Caenorhabditis elegans: one gene and its partner. The protein of the gene in region 1 interacts with the protein of each later gene in a pairwise test. Each region holds a gene or a part of one and is shown in the gene's direction. Other genes may lie near its edges.

Region 1 (7,454 bases):
GTGACAAGAGAAAAACAGTCTAAAAGTGCACTAGACATACGTTGTCAATTACACAAAAAGATAAGACTCCGCCCACTCTTATAACTGACCTCCAAAGTAGAAGTCAGAGGTCATCAAAATGATAGTGACCCAGCAGTTCTTATTAATTTTTCATTTTTGTCAAGTATCATAGTTTGATTTCAAAACCAAGGGATTTCTAAAAATATTCTTGTTATTTTCTCACTGTCGAAGTTTGTTCGTTTACTGAATTTGTAAAAAAAAAAAGTAAAATGTAGGTGAAGGTTGTGTCGTATCACTAGAAATTGATGCATATCTTTTATCAAACACGAACTTCCGATTTTTCTGCAAAAATGCTATCCTGATTTTGATTTTATCCACATACAAACTTTTTCATGTTCCGTTCAAGATTAAAATTTTGAAAAGCAATCCACAGTAGTTTCCCTTACTCGTTCTGGATGTTTTGTTTTGGTTTAGTTCCGGTTTTCATTGGATAATTTGAACTCCCTCTCTTTTTCCCCACATCGCCATACCACTACATCAACACCCACAATAGTTTTTTGCTTCGAAAACTGAAAGAGTAACCAGGTTTGTAACCGACCGGTTCGAGACCCAGTGGGCATTTCTTTTTTTGCGATTTCATAGATTTTATAAAATACTAATTACTATTCCCAAATGGAATTACTAAAAGGCGAAAGTGGTCATTTTGTCGCTGCCCGATCACCTTGAACTTTGAATTTTATTTGTTTTTCTCAAAATTTCTCGCATTTTTTTCGGCATGTTTTTCTATATAATTCGTGACTTTTGCGGATTGATACTTTAAGACTACAAGGTTAGAAAGAAGAGAAAAATGTTATTTAAAAATCACCTAATTTCCAAAAATCTAACAATAGAGAAAGTTCATGAAAGACTAATTTAGAAGAAGGCTTGATCAGGCTAAATGATAAGGCTCAGGTATGTAATAGTTCAGGTTAAGCTTGAAAACTTGAAAACTTCAAAATAACAAGAAAAGGTTCTAAATTTACACTCAGCCTTCTTGACGAGTCATGTTTTAGTTAACACCTCAAATTTCGATCAGAAATTTTTCAGTACCTGTATGTAGAATTGTTCCAAAATCTTTTTTTTTGTGGGTTTTTGATTTTGTAGGATGCTTAATAATTAGGTGATCATTCTGGAAGTTTTTTTCAATTTTTAATATTCTGAAAAAGTCTGAAAACATTCTTGCACAGCTATTTAAACTTCAGGCTTACATCTTTTTTCCAAAAAAGAAAAGATTTTAAAGAAAATGTTGAGCATAGCATAGCAAAGCTAGTTTTTGACCTAAATAAAATTAAGAGTTGCTCGCGGTACTTTTTCAAATATTTTTGAACTCTGAAAAAAAAAATTCTGAAATTCATATCTGCAAGGTTTCCCTAGTTGACCTACTAGACATTTGACTATTTACTGACTCATTCTATGTAATTGTTTCTAGGCCGTGATCGTCGCGCAATCATCAAATTGACGTCAATCTTTTCACGAATTCTATCCGTTTTTTTCTTCAAATTTTAGGGTTTTCTCGAGGTGATCTTATCATTTTTTTTTTCTCTTGAATCTTTCCTCGCAACCATCATGTGTTCGCCAAACAATTGGCTCCACCCCCTCCGACGCGTGAACTTTCGAAACTGAATTGAATCAACAATTAGCATCTGAACGAGGAATCCCAAAGAAACCGGCAAAATTTAATAAAATAGCGCAAAATTAAGAGAGGGTGGACAGAGAAATGAGCTATTTTTGTAGTTTTGAGGTAGAAGGTGTAAATAAAAAGAATACGCAATCGAGACGCACGAAGGTCAATTCGAATGGAATTTCTTATACTGTCTCCCAATATTGTATACACTCTCGTTTTTCACTTTTAGCTAGAAGAGAAAAGTGGGAGGCAATGGTCAGAATTGGAAATTCTGAATTATTCGGTCACTTTTTCAAATCATGGTAGAAGGTTTTGAGAGATTTTTTTAAAATGAATACCTAAAAATCTAGGACTACTTTCAGCACTTTCAGTAGCATTCTGTCAACTTTTCAACTTCGACTACCAAACTTTTGTGGAACATTGTTTACTTTCAGTCTAACGTTGCCAACTTTCTCTCTAACTTTGAAAGCTTCCCGTCTCTAGTTGTGAACTTTCTGTAGCACATTGCTTAGCCTATTTGAAAGGACAATCGTTTTAGTAGAATATAGTTGAGATATCAAAATGTACAGATAATGATTTTTTAATCAAGTTGTATTTCTTGTTGTCTATTTTCATTCCTTGTCAACATTCTTACATAAAAATCAATCACTAAACATTTTACCAGAAGGTCAAACCAAATTTTCACCAGAAATGATTTTTTGGAGAACATTACCAAGTTCGGATTTTTTATTTGGTTCCTCATGGTCATCCTCGTCATCTATTTTTATTTTATGCTCTCAAAAGATCCCTTTTCAGACAAAAATGGGTCGGCTTCGTGCCTTCCTTTTGTTTTCCGGCACACTGGCAGTTATTAGCACAGTACATGCCGACTTTAATTGCTCACAGGCTCCTGATTCAGGTAGGGTATTCAGAATACTTTTGCAAAAAATAAATTGACTATTTTATAAGTTTCTTAATGTTTCTCACAACTAGGTTTAAAAGTATAAAAAATTTAGAAAACATAAAACAATTACCAATTCCTTTCCTTTTCAAAAAACAAAGAATAAAAAATTTTCAGACATGGTCCAAACATGCCATATGCTCCAAGAATGGGACAGTGCTGCACGGAAGGCAATTAGAAAACGGCAGGCATTCAATGCAGGTGCTCCAGGAGTTCAGGGGTTTTCTCCATCAAATCCACCACGATTTGCTCCATCAGCTCAAGGATGCATGAATATAGCATGCATCTGTCCGTATATGGGGGTTTGTTTGAATGTTACTTTCATTTTTACTACTTGGCATTTGTTTTCAACTTCTTGTCTAGTCTGTCTAGGCTCAAAAAATATTACCTTGATTCCGAAGTTGCTGAAGTTCGTTCAAGCTATCCTCAAGATAAACCTAAGTTTAATCTTACTCTTGTCAAAATTAGTTCCTAAATAATTTTCTTTAGATCAAACTTGGGCAAAATTTAGGTTTGTCTTAAACCTAATTTTGGCAAATTCTGAATCAAGTTAATATTTTTTATACCACTTGTTCAAAAAGTTTGTACCAAGTGCGAAGTAACTGTGCATTTTAAACTATTTAAATCGTACATTCCTCGCGCCATTATACTTCTGGCAATCTAAGATGTTTCCAAGAAGAAATGTTCAAGACAAAATGCTTGAAAAACAAAAATAAAACAAAATTTAAAAATTCTAGGGACGAATGGCAAATGGATGTATCCTACCAAATGGGCAACCTTACTTAATGGCATATAGAAAAGAGTATAGGTATTACATATTTCATCTAATTTACAAAAAATTTACAAACAAAATTTTAGAATGATGTCAGATAACGAACGACAACGGTGGCACAATGCCCTAATACAATTGAAACGTTCAGGAGAATACGATCGTCTTTCAGTAATGCATCGACAAGTTGGCTCAGCCTCCGGAGCTCATTCCGGTCCAGGCTTCCTTGTCTGGCATAGAGAATACATGAAAAGAATGGAAATTGCTCTTAGAATGATTGATCCAGGAATATCTATGCCATATTGGGATTCTGTTCTAGAATCATATCTTCCCGATCCAAGAGACTCTATTATGTTTGGACCACAATTTATGGGAATGACTGATGCTTCTGGTCAATTGGTTAGTGGTCCATTTGCTGGATTCAGAACACTTGAAGGAAGGCCTAATATTATTAGAAGAATGGCTACTGAAGGGAAAATGTTCACTGAACAAAATATTAATAATTTGATGGCACAAAATGATTTGGTTAGCGTAATGGCTTTCACTGCTCCACAAGGAGGTAATCTATTTATTTATCGAATTTTACTTAAAATTTTGAAATATTGCAGGATGCCCATTCCGTCCCTATTTTGGAGCGCTTGAGTATACTCATGCATCAATTCATTTATGGATGGGCGGAGACATGAAACCACCATCAACATCTGCAAATGACCCAGTCTTCTTCCTCCATCACACATTTGTCGATTTTATTTGGGAAATGTGGAGACAAAATCACCAGAATAGATTTGCAAGAGAAAATGTTCGTTAAAGTTATGAAAAATTACTGTAAAAAGATTTATTTTCAGCAATATCCACCAGACATTGCCGCTTGTGCCAATTCTCAACACTTCAGTTATGCTCAAATGAGACCTTGGGATAAAATTAATCGTGATGGTAAGTTTGCTCTATTATGCTGTCTGGAAAGTCTACTGGAAAGTGTGAATTAATTGACTAGCATACTAAAACAACGATTCCAGATTATTTTTAACTTTGTAAAAAATTTGAAAGTGTAAAAAGTTTCCAATTTTCTTCAGGTCTCTCGAATGCCTACACTGATAATTTGTATCACTATGCTCCTCGTCCAACGTGTAACCGTAATAATGCCAACTGCGGATCTCAATATCTGTTCTGTGATACACGTGGCAATCCACATTGCGTGGCAAAGGTGAAGCCAGGTGGTTTGTGCCGTGGATTCGAAGGATTAGATTCTTGTTACATGGGTACATGTGTTGCTGGATGGTGTAGAGGTGGACAACAGTTCCAACAGGTACGACAACTTTTTATGTAGCTTAAGTTTCAGATTTTTTGAACATGAATCCATACTTGATAAAAATTTCAATTATATACTTTTATACCCGTATTAAAAAAACTCAAACATTAATATTTTTAGCCAGCGCAAACCACTGCAGTGGCTACTGTTCAACAACCTCAGCAGCAGCCCCAGCAACAGCAACCACAGCAACAGAGACCAGCCACAACCCCACAATCTGTAAGCTAATCCTCACTGGAACACGTGCAAAATGTCTAATATTTCAGAATTGCTACAACGAAGATCCATGCTGTAATCAGTGGTCTCGTCAGAATGAGTGTCGAACAAATACAGTTTACATGAATAGATATTGTAGGAAATCTTGTGGATTGTGTCAGTCTAATGATAACAATAGAGGTGTGTTTTGAGTAGCAAAAATGGGATATTTTATAAAATCTCAACGAGCAGGTGTATCTAGAAATTCCCAGAGAGGCCTCCCCGTCTACCTAAAATGAAAACCTAGTTTCTAATAGTTAGTCTCAACTGGGTGGAATTACTTGAGTCAATTTTGAAATATTTTGCGTTTTATCATAATAATCGAAAACTTCCTATGTAATTATAAAACCAAATGAGTTCAGGATGTCATGATCGTCACATATCTTGTGCCTACTGGCGTGGACAGAACTTCTGTACCCGCCGTCGTCAATGGATGGCTGAAAATTGTCAAGCAACATGTGGATGGTGCAATATGAACGAAGCTCAATTATGTGCATCAGTTGCTCGTCAATCAAGAAGAGTTCGAAGAAATGCAAAGTTCTGGCTCACTGAGCCAGATGCAGATGACTTTGTTGATGATTTTATGCTTGATTATGGACGATAATCACTTTTCGAAATTTTTTAAAAATCTTTACTGAAAATTGTCATTTTCACCCAACCAATGTGTATCACATTCTCTCTACGTGTCGTTTTCCTTCCCAAAATCCTTCCGAACTTTCTTCAAAACAATTTCACACCTGCCGAAATCACAGTTGATCCGGGTTTTTGTACAAACTGATTTCCAACACCCCCTGCCCCTGATTTGTTTTCTTATTTTCCAAGAAAATTAATAAAATATGTTTGATCTTTTTTTAAAGCTTGTAACCTGCCCTTAATATAAACCAGTGTAACTATTAAAAATCGTACGAGTTTCTAATAAAAATAAACCCTGATTTTATTAAGAAAAATGAATTTCAAATGTTAAAAAATCTGAAAGGAACATGGGAGATGAAAAGTGAATGACAAAATCAATATAGTTTGGTGATATGTTCGACCGGTTTTCTTTTGAGATCTGGAACAAGCACGTCTTCTGACGCATAACCAAGAGGAAGTAGCAGTAGTATCTGCAATTAACCACTTGGATTGTACTATACTCTATCATCTGCTTACACTTTCATTCTCAGGCCTCCTCAATATTCTTGAAATATCGGGTCCTGCATTCAACGGTGACGTCACTACAGTACTCAATCCAACATTCTGAATTGCAGCCAAAAGGATGCCAACAGCAATTGATGTGCTTATTTGATTATAGTGGAATACCCGTTCTGTTTTACTATGCACGTCACGAAATATCTGAAAACCAGATGTTTGAGGATTGATTTTAAGATTGTTTTGAATCAAACCTCATGACAAACAATTAATAGATATGGAGCATCTGTAATGTATGGCCTCCGCCACGTGTCTTGTAATTGTGATACATCAACTACCCAAGAAGCTCCTTTTCTGGAAAGAAGTCTTTTAAAATCAGTTTTCGTAGATGAATTAGCCTCACAGTCCTTTCCCTGTATATTTACGATTTTTTGGCTTTTTTTTTGATTTGACTATTTTTTAAATAAAACCTTTTTATCACTGGACCGAACTTTCTACGTTTTAATAGTTACGGCTTTCATCTTTAAAGCACAACTTTTACCCAAAAATATGAGACTGGTTGAAGACCTGGCAAAGATGAAAAATAACTCACTTTCTAGAGACATAGTTATCCCGTTCGTCCGCTTCTAAGATTTTCCTGATCATTGTTTTAATTGAATCACTTGAAACAACACAAAACGTCCATGGTTGAAGATTTCCAACACTCGGAGATGTGCCTGAAAATGAGTGACTATAATTGTTATCATTTCTTTAGTTCTTACCAGCCGTTTTTAATAAATTTTGAATAACTTTTAATGGTACATCCCTTGAGCTGAACTGTCGACAACTTCTCCTCATCTTCATCTCTTCGTAGAAAATTTGAGAATTCCGAAGAGTGATGTCATCGTTTATCACTGGCATGCGGTATGGAATCTGAAAATAAAAATATTTTTTAGCGCTAAAGCTGAAGATTTCCCCAAATTTCATTAAAACTAAACAAACCATTCTCTCTCTGATGACATTTTCATGAAGATCTGTAAAAACCATTTCATCTCCAACATGTTTATCTGCAACTTCAACCTGAAAACATTCACTGTTTCATATATTAAAAACAAAAATAGTCACTTTTCGTTGTTTTGTTCTACTCTCCAACTGCTTCTCAACTCGTTTGTTCATTCGATGAAGTAGAGAAGCAACTTGGTAGATCACAAATAGAATTACCTGAAATCACAAATTTCAGCACATTATCTGATTTTGAAAAATTTACTCCTAATGTGAACAAGACATTTAGAACAGCTTCTGAAGAGTGTCCTTGATTTCCAAATGAGTTTAGCCATAATTTGATTGATTGTAAATCGATTAAAGGTTCTTTTCCCGTTGAATCTCCATAAGCCTGAATTATATTGCAAGG
Region 2 (6,458 bases), 6.8 Mb from region 1:
TAAATTTTGCGTGGAAAATAGCTATTTTAAGTGAAAATCGATGAATTTTACACGGAAAAACGACAATTTTGGGGGAAAATTGGCGATTTTAGGCCAAAATTTGCATTTTTGCTCGGAAAAATGGCTAATTTAGGTGAAAATCGATAAATGTTACATGAAAATTGGAAATTTTGAGCCGAAATTGGTAATTTTACATGGAAAACAGCGATTTTGGGGGAAAATTGTCGTTTTTACATGGAAAAAATGGCATTTTTACATGAAAAAGTGTGGCAATTTTAAGCCAAAATTGGTATTTTTGTATGGAAAATAGCTTTTTTAGATGAAAATCGATAAATTTTGCACGAAAAACGGCGATTTTTGAGAAAAATTGACATTTTTACATGAAAAAGTGGCAATTTTAAGCCAAAATCGACATTTCCTCATGGAAAATAGCTATTTTAGGTGAAAATCGATAAATTTTGAATGAAAAACGGGGATTTCAGGTGAAAATTGGCAATTTCAAGTCAAAATTGACATTTTTACAGGGAAAAATAGCTATTTTAGGTGAAAATCGATAAATTTTGCATCGAAAACAGCGATTTTGATGGGAAATTGGCGATTTTAAGCCAAAATCGGCGATTTTCCATGAAAAACGGCCATTATGGGGGAAAATTTGCGATTTTAAGCCAAAATCGGCGATTTTACATGAAAAAATGGTTATTTTAGGTCAAAATTTGGCAATTTACATGAAAAAAAACGGGCTATTTTAGGTGAAAATTGATGAATTTTGCATCGAAAACAGCGATTTTGCTGGGAAATTGGCGATTTTAGGGGAAAATTTGCATTTTTACATGGAAAAAGGCCTAATTTAGGTTAAAATCGATAAACTTTGCATGAAAAACCAGCGATTTTAAGCCAAAGTTGGACATTTTTATATGGAAAAAACGGCGATTTTGAGGGAAAATTGGCGATTTTAAACCGAAATTCACGTTTTTACATGGAAAAAACAGGATTTTAGGTCAAATTTTGACAATTTACATGAAAAAAACAGGATTTTAGGTGAAAATTGATGAATTTTACAGTAAAAATATCGATTTTATGTCAAAATGAACGAATTTTCCGCGAGAATTTCCTAGCATCCACACATTCCGCCGCCACCACTGGAGCCCGTCGGTTGTCCCAACCGAAAAGACGGGCGGTCATTGTCCCATAAGTCGGGCGTTTGAATGATTTTCTCGATAAGCTCCTCAAATGTGCACTGTACACCCTCCTTAGTCTTCGCAGAAGCTTCAATGAATAGTGTGCGGTGGCGTTTTGCGAATTTTAGGCCTTCCTCGCGGGTTACCACTCGATTTGGCTGAAAATTATTTTTTAGGCCAAAAATCGAACAAAATCGGCTTTTTCGCACCATATCAATCTTGTTCGCGACCATCATCTTGATAATATTGTCATTTGTGCAATAAGTATCGACTTCTTGCATCCAATGATTCAATTTCTCGAAGGAGCTGCGGCTAGTGACGTCATACACGCAAATTACGCCCTGTGCTCCACGATAATAGCTCGGCGTGAGGGTACGGAACCTCTCCTGGCCGGCGGTGTCCCAAATTGCGAGTTTTACACGATTTCCGTCGATTGCCATTGAAGTTACGCGGAAATCCACGCCTAAAAAACAATAAATTTAGGGTTTTTTTGGCCTAAAAATCAAAAAATCCAAAAATCCCTGGAATTTCCACGAACCTATCGTTGCAGCCTGCTCAGGATCGAAGACATCGTCCACGAATCGTAGCATTAAGCTGAAAATTTTTGAATTTAAATTGATTTTTTTAAATTTTTTTTGGGCGAGAAAACCCCTCACCTCGACTTCCCTACGCCACTTTCGCCGATAATCAGGATTTTGAGAGTTGTGAGGGGGCTTGAACTGTCGTCGGACATCTGGAATTCGTAAAAACGAAGGGAAAATGCAGGATAATTTTTTTTTTGTTGGGAAATTTACGTTTTTAAGGATAAAAGATAAAAAACTCGATTTTTCAGGGTATTTTCCCCATTTTAAGTTAATTTTTTAACACTTTTAAATAGATTTTTCACCTTAAAACCCAAAAATTTGCCGAAAAATCAATAAATTTCCCTTCGAAAATGTCAGATGTCGTTGCACGAGACGCTCTTTCGGAAAAGAGAGCGATGGAGCGCACTTGCACTTGGCACGATGCCAAGTGCCTGTCGTGGTGAGACCCGATGGCGCGAAAATGGATTTGTTTGAAATTTGTTTTTTTGTTTTTTTAATTTTTAAACGTTTTTCGTGTTTTTTATTTTTATTTTTTTTGTTTTTTATAATTTTTCCAAATTTTTATCAGTTTTCAGCAATCAAAAAAAATGCAAAAATCAATCGACGACATGATCAACGAAGTTCTCGCGGTAAAAGTCGAAAAACTGCCGAAAACCCAAGATTTTTCGGATCTCCAAGAAGTTTGCGCCTCCAAACTGCAGATAATTAACAAGGAAATGGACGAGGCCGATCGGAAGCTGGAGGAGACGCTCGAGAAGCGAAAATTGGTGGAAAAACGTGAGAAATTTAGTGAATTTTCACAATAATTTTCCCATTTCCTAGAACTCGAAGACCTCCAGGAGCAGTATAAAGTCAAGGAATTCGCGTTTTCTCTTCAAAAAGAGTTTCAGGATGAGCTGAAGAAGGTCGCCGAGGAAATTTTCTAACAATTTTCATTATTTCTGTACATATAAAGTTCTGTATTCCTTAACCCCGTTGTTTTTCCCAGTTTTCTGTACTTTTCATGCATTTTATACTTATTTTTCAGCGTTTTTCAATGATTTTTCAGGCTCAAAATCCTCATTTTCAGCCCAAAAATGACGGATTTAGACACTTCATCCGCTCAAATACGGGCTTCGCAGAGCGATTTATCGATTGCCAACTCATCGCCACGTCTGCTGGAGTCCAACGCAACTACTTCTACAGCGGTAAAATCGGATTTTTAGCGGCGAAAAAAATCGAAAAAACGCATTTTTTGCTGGAAAATAAGCAGAAAATCGTGTTTTTCGCCCTGGAAACCGCCTAAAAACACAATTTTCAGTGCATCAACGACGTTCAACAGCCGGTTCGACGCGATTTGAGCTCGGAACTCCTCTGTCCACTGTGTGATCAGCTTTTCGACAGGGTTAGAACATGGAAATACCGAGGATTTCAAGAAAAATTGCGTGAAAAATGGCGGATTTTCCATTAAAAATCGCTTAATTTTACCCATTTTTGACCCAAAAATGTGCAATTTTCGTCTTTTTCCAGCTATAAATGTGAAAAATCGGGGAAAAATGCGAAATTTTCTCATAAAAACTTGAAATTCCGAAAATTGTCTTGTTTTTGCCCATTTTTCCAGATTTTCAGCCAAAAATCACGATTTTTTGGGGATTTTTAGCTAGAAAACCGCATTTTTTCCGATTTTTAGCATAATAATCACAGATTTTCTCGGATTTTTACAGTTTTTTGCCGATTTTTACGATTTTTAGACTAAAAACTTTGGATTTTTAAGATTTTCAGCACAAAAACCCCAGTTTTTCTCGGATTTTTACAGTTTTTAGCTTAAAAACCACAATTTTTCAGATTTTTTTCGATTTTCAGCTCAGAAACCCCAGTTTTTCTCGGATTTTTACAGATTTTAGCTTAAAATTTTGGATTTTTCCGATTTTTAGCCCTAAAAACCCCAATTTTGCCGGATTTTTTCGGTTTTTAGCCAAAAAACTCCAGTTTTTCCCATATTTTAACGATTTTTAGCTCGAAACCCACAATTTTTCCGGACTTTTACAATTTTTAGCCCAAAAAACCCCAATTTTTTCGGATTTTTCTGATTTTAGCTCAAAAATAACCGATTTTTTTCGGATTTTTCTGATTTTAGCTCAAAAATAACCGATTTTTTTCGATTTTCAGCTCAAAAACCTCCCATTTTTCCAGATTTTTCCAATTTTTTGCTCAAAAAACTTCAATATTTTAAGATTTTTTTCAATTTTCAGCCGAAAAATCCAAATTTTTCCGGATTTTTACAATTTTAACCCAAAAATCACACCGATTTCTGCCGATTTTTACACAATTTTTAGCTCAAAAATCACCGATTTTTCCCAGGATTTTCCCGATTTTTAACCCAAAAATCTCGGTTTCTCAGGATTTTTACAATTTTTAGCCCAAAAACTACACAGTTTTCTCCCGTTTTTTTACGTTTTTCATCTCAAAAATCACCCATTTTCCCAGATTTTTAGCTCAAGAAACCCCAGTTTTTCAGCGGAGTTTTCCGATTTTTAGCCCAAAAACCATCAATTTTCCCGGATTTTTCCAATTTTTATGTCAAAAATCCCAGTTTTCCGCCGATTTTTTCGATTTTCAGCCGAAAAACCCCATTTCTACCCTAATTTTTACAATTTTCAGCCAATTTTTCCAAATTTTCAGCCCGTAATGGTAACATGTGGGCACTCGTACTGTGAGCCGTGCATCGAACGACATACACGTGATACGAGAGCCTGTGTAATCTGTAAACTCGACGTTGGACCATTTGCAGCGATGATTCCCAGCATTACACTTGATAATGTACGACGGATTTTGATGCGAAATTCGGATTTTTCGACAGTTTTTACCCCGGAAAACCGTGGATTTTTACCTTAAAATCGCATTTGTCAGCCAAAAAACTCTAATTTTAGTCCGAAAAAACGATTTTTCACGGCAAAAACTACAAAAATACGCTTAAAAACCCGATTTTTTCCTCAAAATTTTGAATTTTGTGACTAAAAATTGCATTTTCAGCCATAAAAAGCATAGTTTTGGCTTAAAATTCAATTTTCGAAAGTTTTTAGCCTTAAAGGCCGAGATTTTGACTTAAAAATCACATTTTCCCGTGGAAAACTTGATATTTTTCAGCCAAAAAAACCACAAAAATACATTTTTCAACTTATAAATTATGCATTTTCGGTCAAAAATCCGATTTTTCCTTGAAAATCTTGCCGAAAATTCAGAAAAATGTTGACTTTTACATCTAAAATTTCTTGATTTTCGTTGGTTTTTACACTGAAAAACCGGAATTTTGACCTAAAAATAAACTTTTTCATAGGAAAACCTAAAAAATTATGAATTTTTGGGTTAAAATTCTCCATTTTCAGGGTAAAAATCTGTTGGAAGCCCTGAAAATTTTGATTTTGAAGCTATTTTTCGCATTTTTCGCAGAAAAACTCAATTTTAATCTCAAAATCCCGATTTTCCAGCTAAAAATCCCAAATTTTTGCATTTTTTCGCCGAAAAACTTAATTTTAGTCAAAAAAAATTGCGATTTTCTTGCAAAAATATCAATTTTTTGCAATTTTTACCTTGAAAACCCAGTTTTAATCTCAAAATCCCGATTTTTCAGTTAAAAATCCAAAATTTTTGCAATTTTTAGCTCAAAAACCCAATTTTCTAGCTAAAATCTCAAATTTTTGCATTTTTTCGCAGAAAAATACCAAAACATTCAACGAATTTTCGTTTCAGATGGTCCGAAAATTGAAAAACCAGGAGAATATCGAGAGCAGCTACGACGATTTGTTCATTTGTGAGGAAAAGGTTGAGTTTTTGCAGGAAAATGCGAATTTTCAGGGTTTTTGAGTGAAAAAATCATGAAAATTAGGTGTTTTTGACCCCAAAAGTCGGGTTTTTTCACCATTTTCAGTTGAAAAATCGTGGTTTTCCACTTTTTTTAAAGCTTAAAAACCCCCGATTTTCCCAATTTTTACCCCCTAAAAACCCGGATTTTTCACTATTTTCAGCTCCAAAAAGCGCCAACACCACCAATTTCGGAGGAAATTCCGGCTCAAAAAATGACGAGAAGCCTGTCACAACGGTCTAAACGACGCTTATTCTTCTCAATTGCGGGCCCAACGATTTGCTCGAGGTAGATGGCTGGAAAAGAGCTGAAAAAAGGCTGAAAATCTGGAAATTTCAGCTAAAAATATGGAAAAATCGCTGAATTTCAGTAAAAATCTTCGATTTTCAGCCAAAAAAGTCAATTTTTCAGTTAAAAAAAGCGAAAAAAATGCAGAAAAATTCGATTTTTCAGTCAAAAACCTCAATTTTTGAGCTTAAAACTCAATTTTTCCCTGTAAAAATGTGATTTTCCCTGAAAAAAACCTAATTTTTCAACTATAAATGAGTAAATCTCAGAGAAAAATGTAAATTTCCTGATTTTTCCGGAGAAAAATCCACTTTAAACCCAACAAATTGGAGAAAAAATAAAAAAAAAATCCAATTAAAAATCAAATTTTTGCGAAAAATGCTAACATTTCTAATGAAAACTGTAAAAATTGCAGAAAAATTCGATTTTTCAGTCAAAAACCTCAATTTTTGAGCTTAAAACTCAATTTTTCAACCAAAAAATGCGATTTTCTCTGAAAAAAACCTAATTTTTCAGCGAAAAAAGAGTAAATCTCATAGAAAAATGTGATTTTCCTAATTTTTCCTG

The links. Proteins that work in one complex are often made in the same cells at the same time.
Region 2: the proteins of tyr-1 (region 1) and par-2 interact in a two-hybrid assay, tested with the Caenorhabditis elegans proteins (one study listed by BioGRID).

What each region holds. Positions count from the first base shown.
Region 1 is NC_003281.10:7,871,323-7,878,776, forward strand, and holds tyr-1 (Putative tyrosinase-like protein tyr-1), read left to right. Parts: upstream 1-2,458; 5' UTR 2,459-2,464; coding exon 2,465-2,561; intron 2,562-2,720; coding exon 2,721-2,905; intron 2,906-3,340; coding exon 3,341-3,411; intron 3,412-3,461; coding exon 3,462-3,931; intron 3,932-3,980; coding exon 3,981-4,171; intron 4,172-4,217; coding exon 4,218-4,305; intron 4,306-4,445; coding exon 4,446-4,678; intron 4,679-4,801; coding exon 4,802-4,900; intron 4,901-4,947; coding exon 4,948-5,077; intron 5,078-5,298; coding exon 5,299-5,540; 3' UTR 5,541-5,872; downstream 5,873-7,454. Other genes in the region: sup-18 (Iodotyrosine dehalogenase 1 homolog), read right to left, coding at 5,944-6,039, 6,086-6,268, 6,319-6,418, 6,657-6,780, 6,826-6,976, 7,046-7,123, 7,169-7,264, 7,311-7,436.
Region 2 is NC_003281.10:1,078,571-1,085,028, forward strand, and holds the start of par-2 (RING-type domain-containing protein), read left to right. Parts: upstream 1-2,824; 5' UTR 2,825-2,838; coding exon 2,839-2,949; intron 2,950-3,062; coding exon 3,063-3,146; intron 3,147-4,423; coding exon 4,424-4,561; intron 4,562-5,491; coding exon 5,492-5,563; intron 5,564-5,766; coding exon 5,767-5,891; intron 5,892-6,458. Other genes in the region: Ras-related protein Rab-18, read right to left, coding at 1,112-1,336, 1,388-1,641, 1,717-1,772, 1,835-1,911; kbp-4 (KNL (kinetochore null) Binding Protein), read left to right, coding at 2,350-2,539, 2,585-2,688.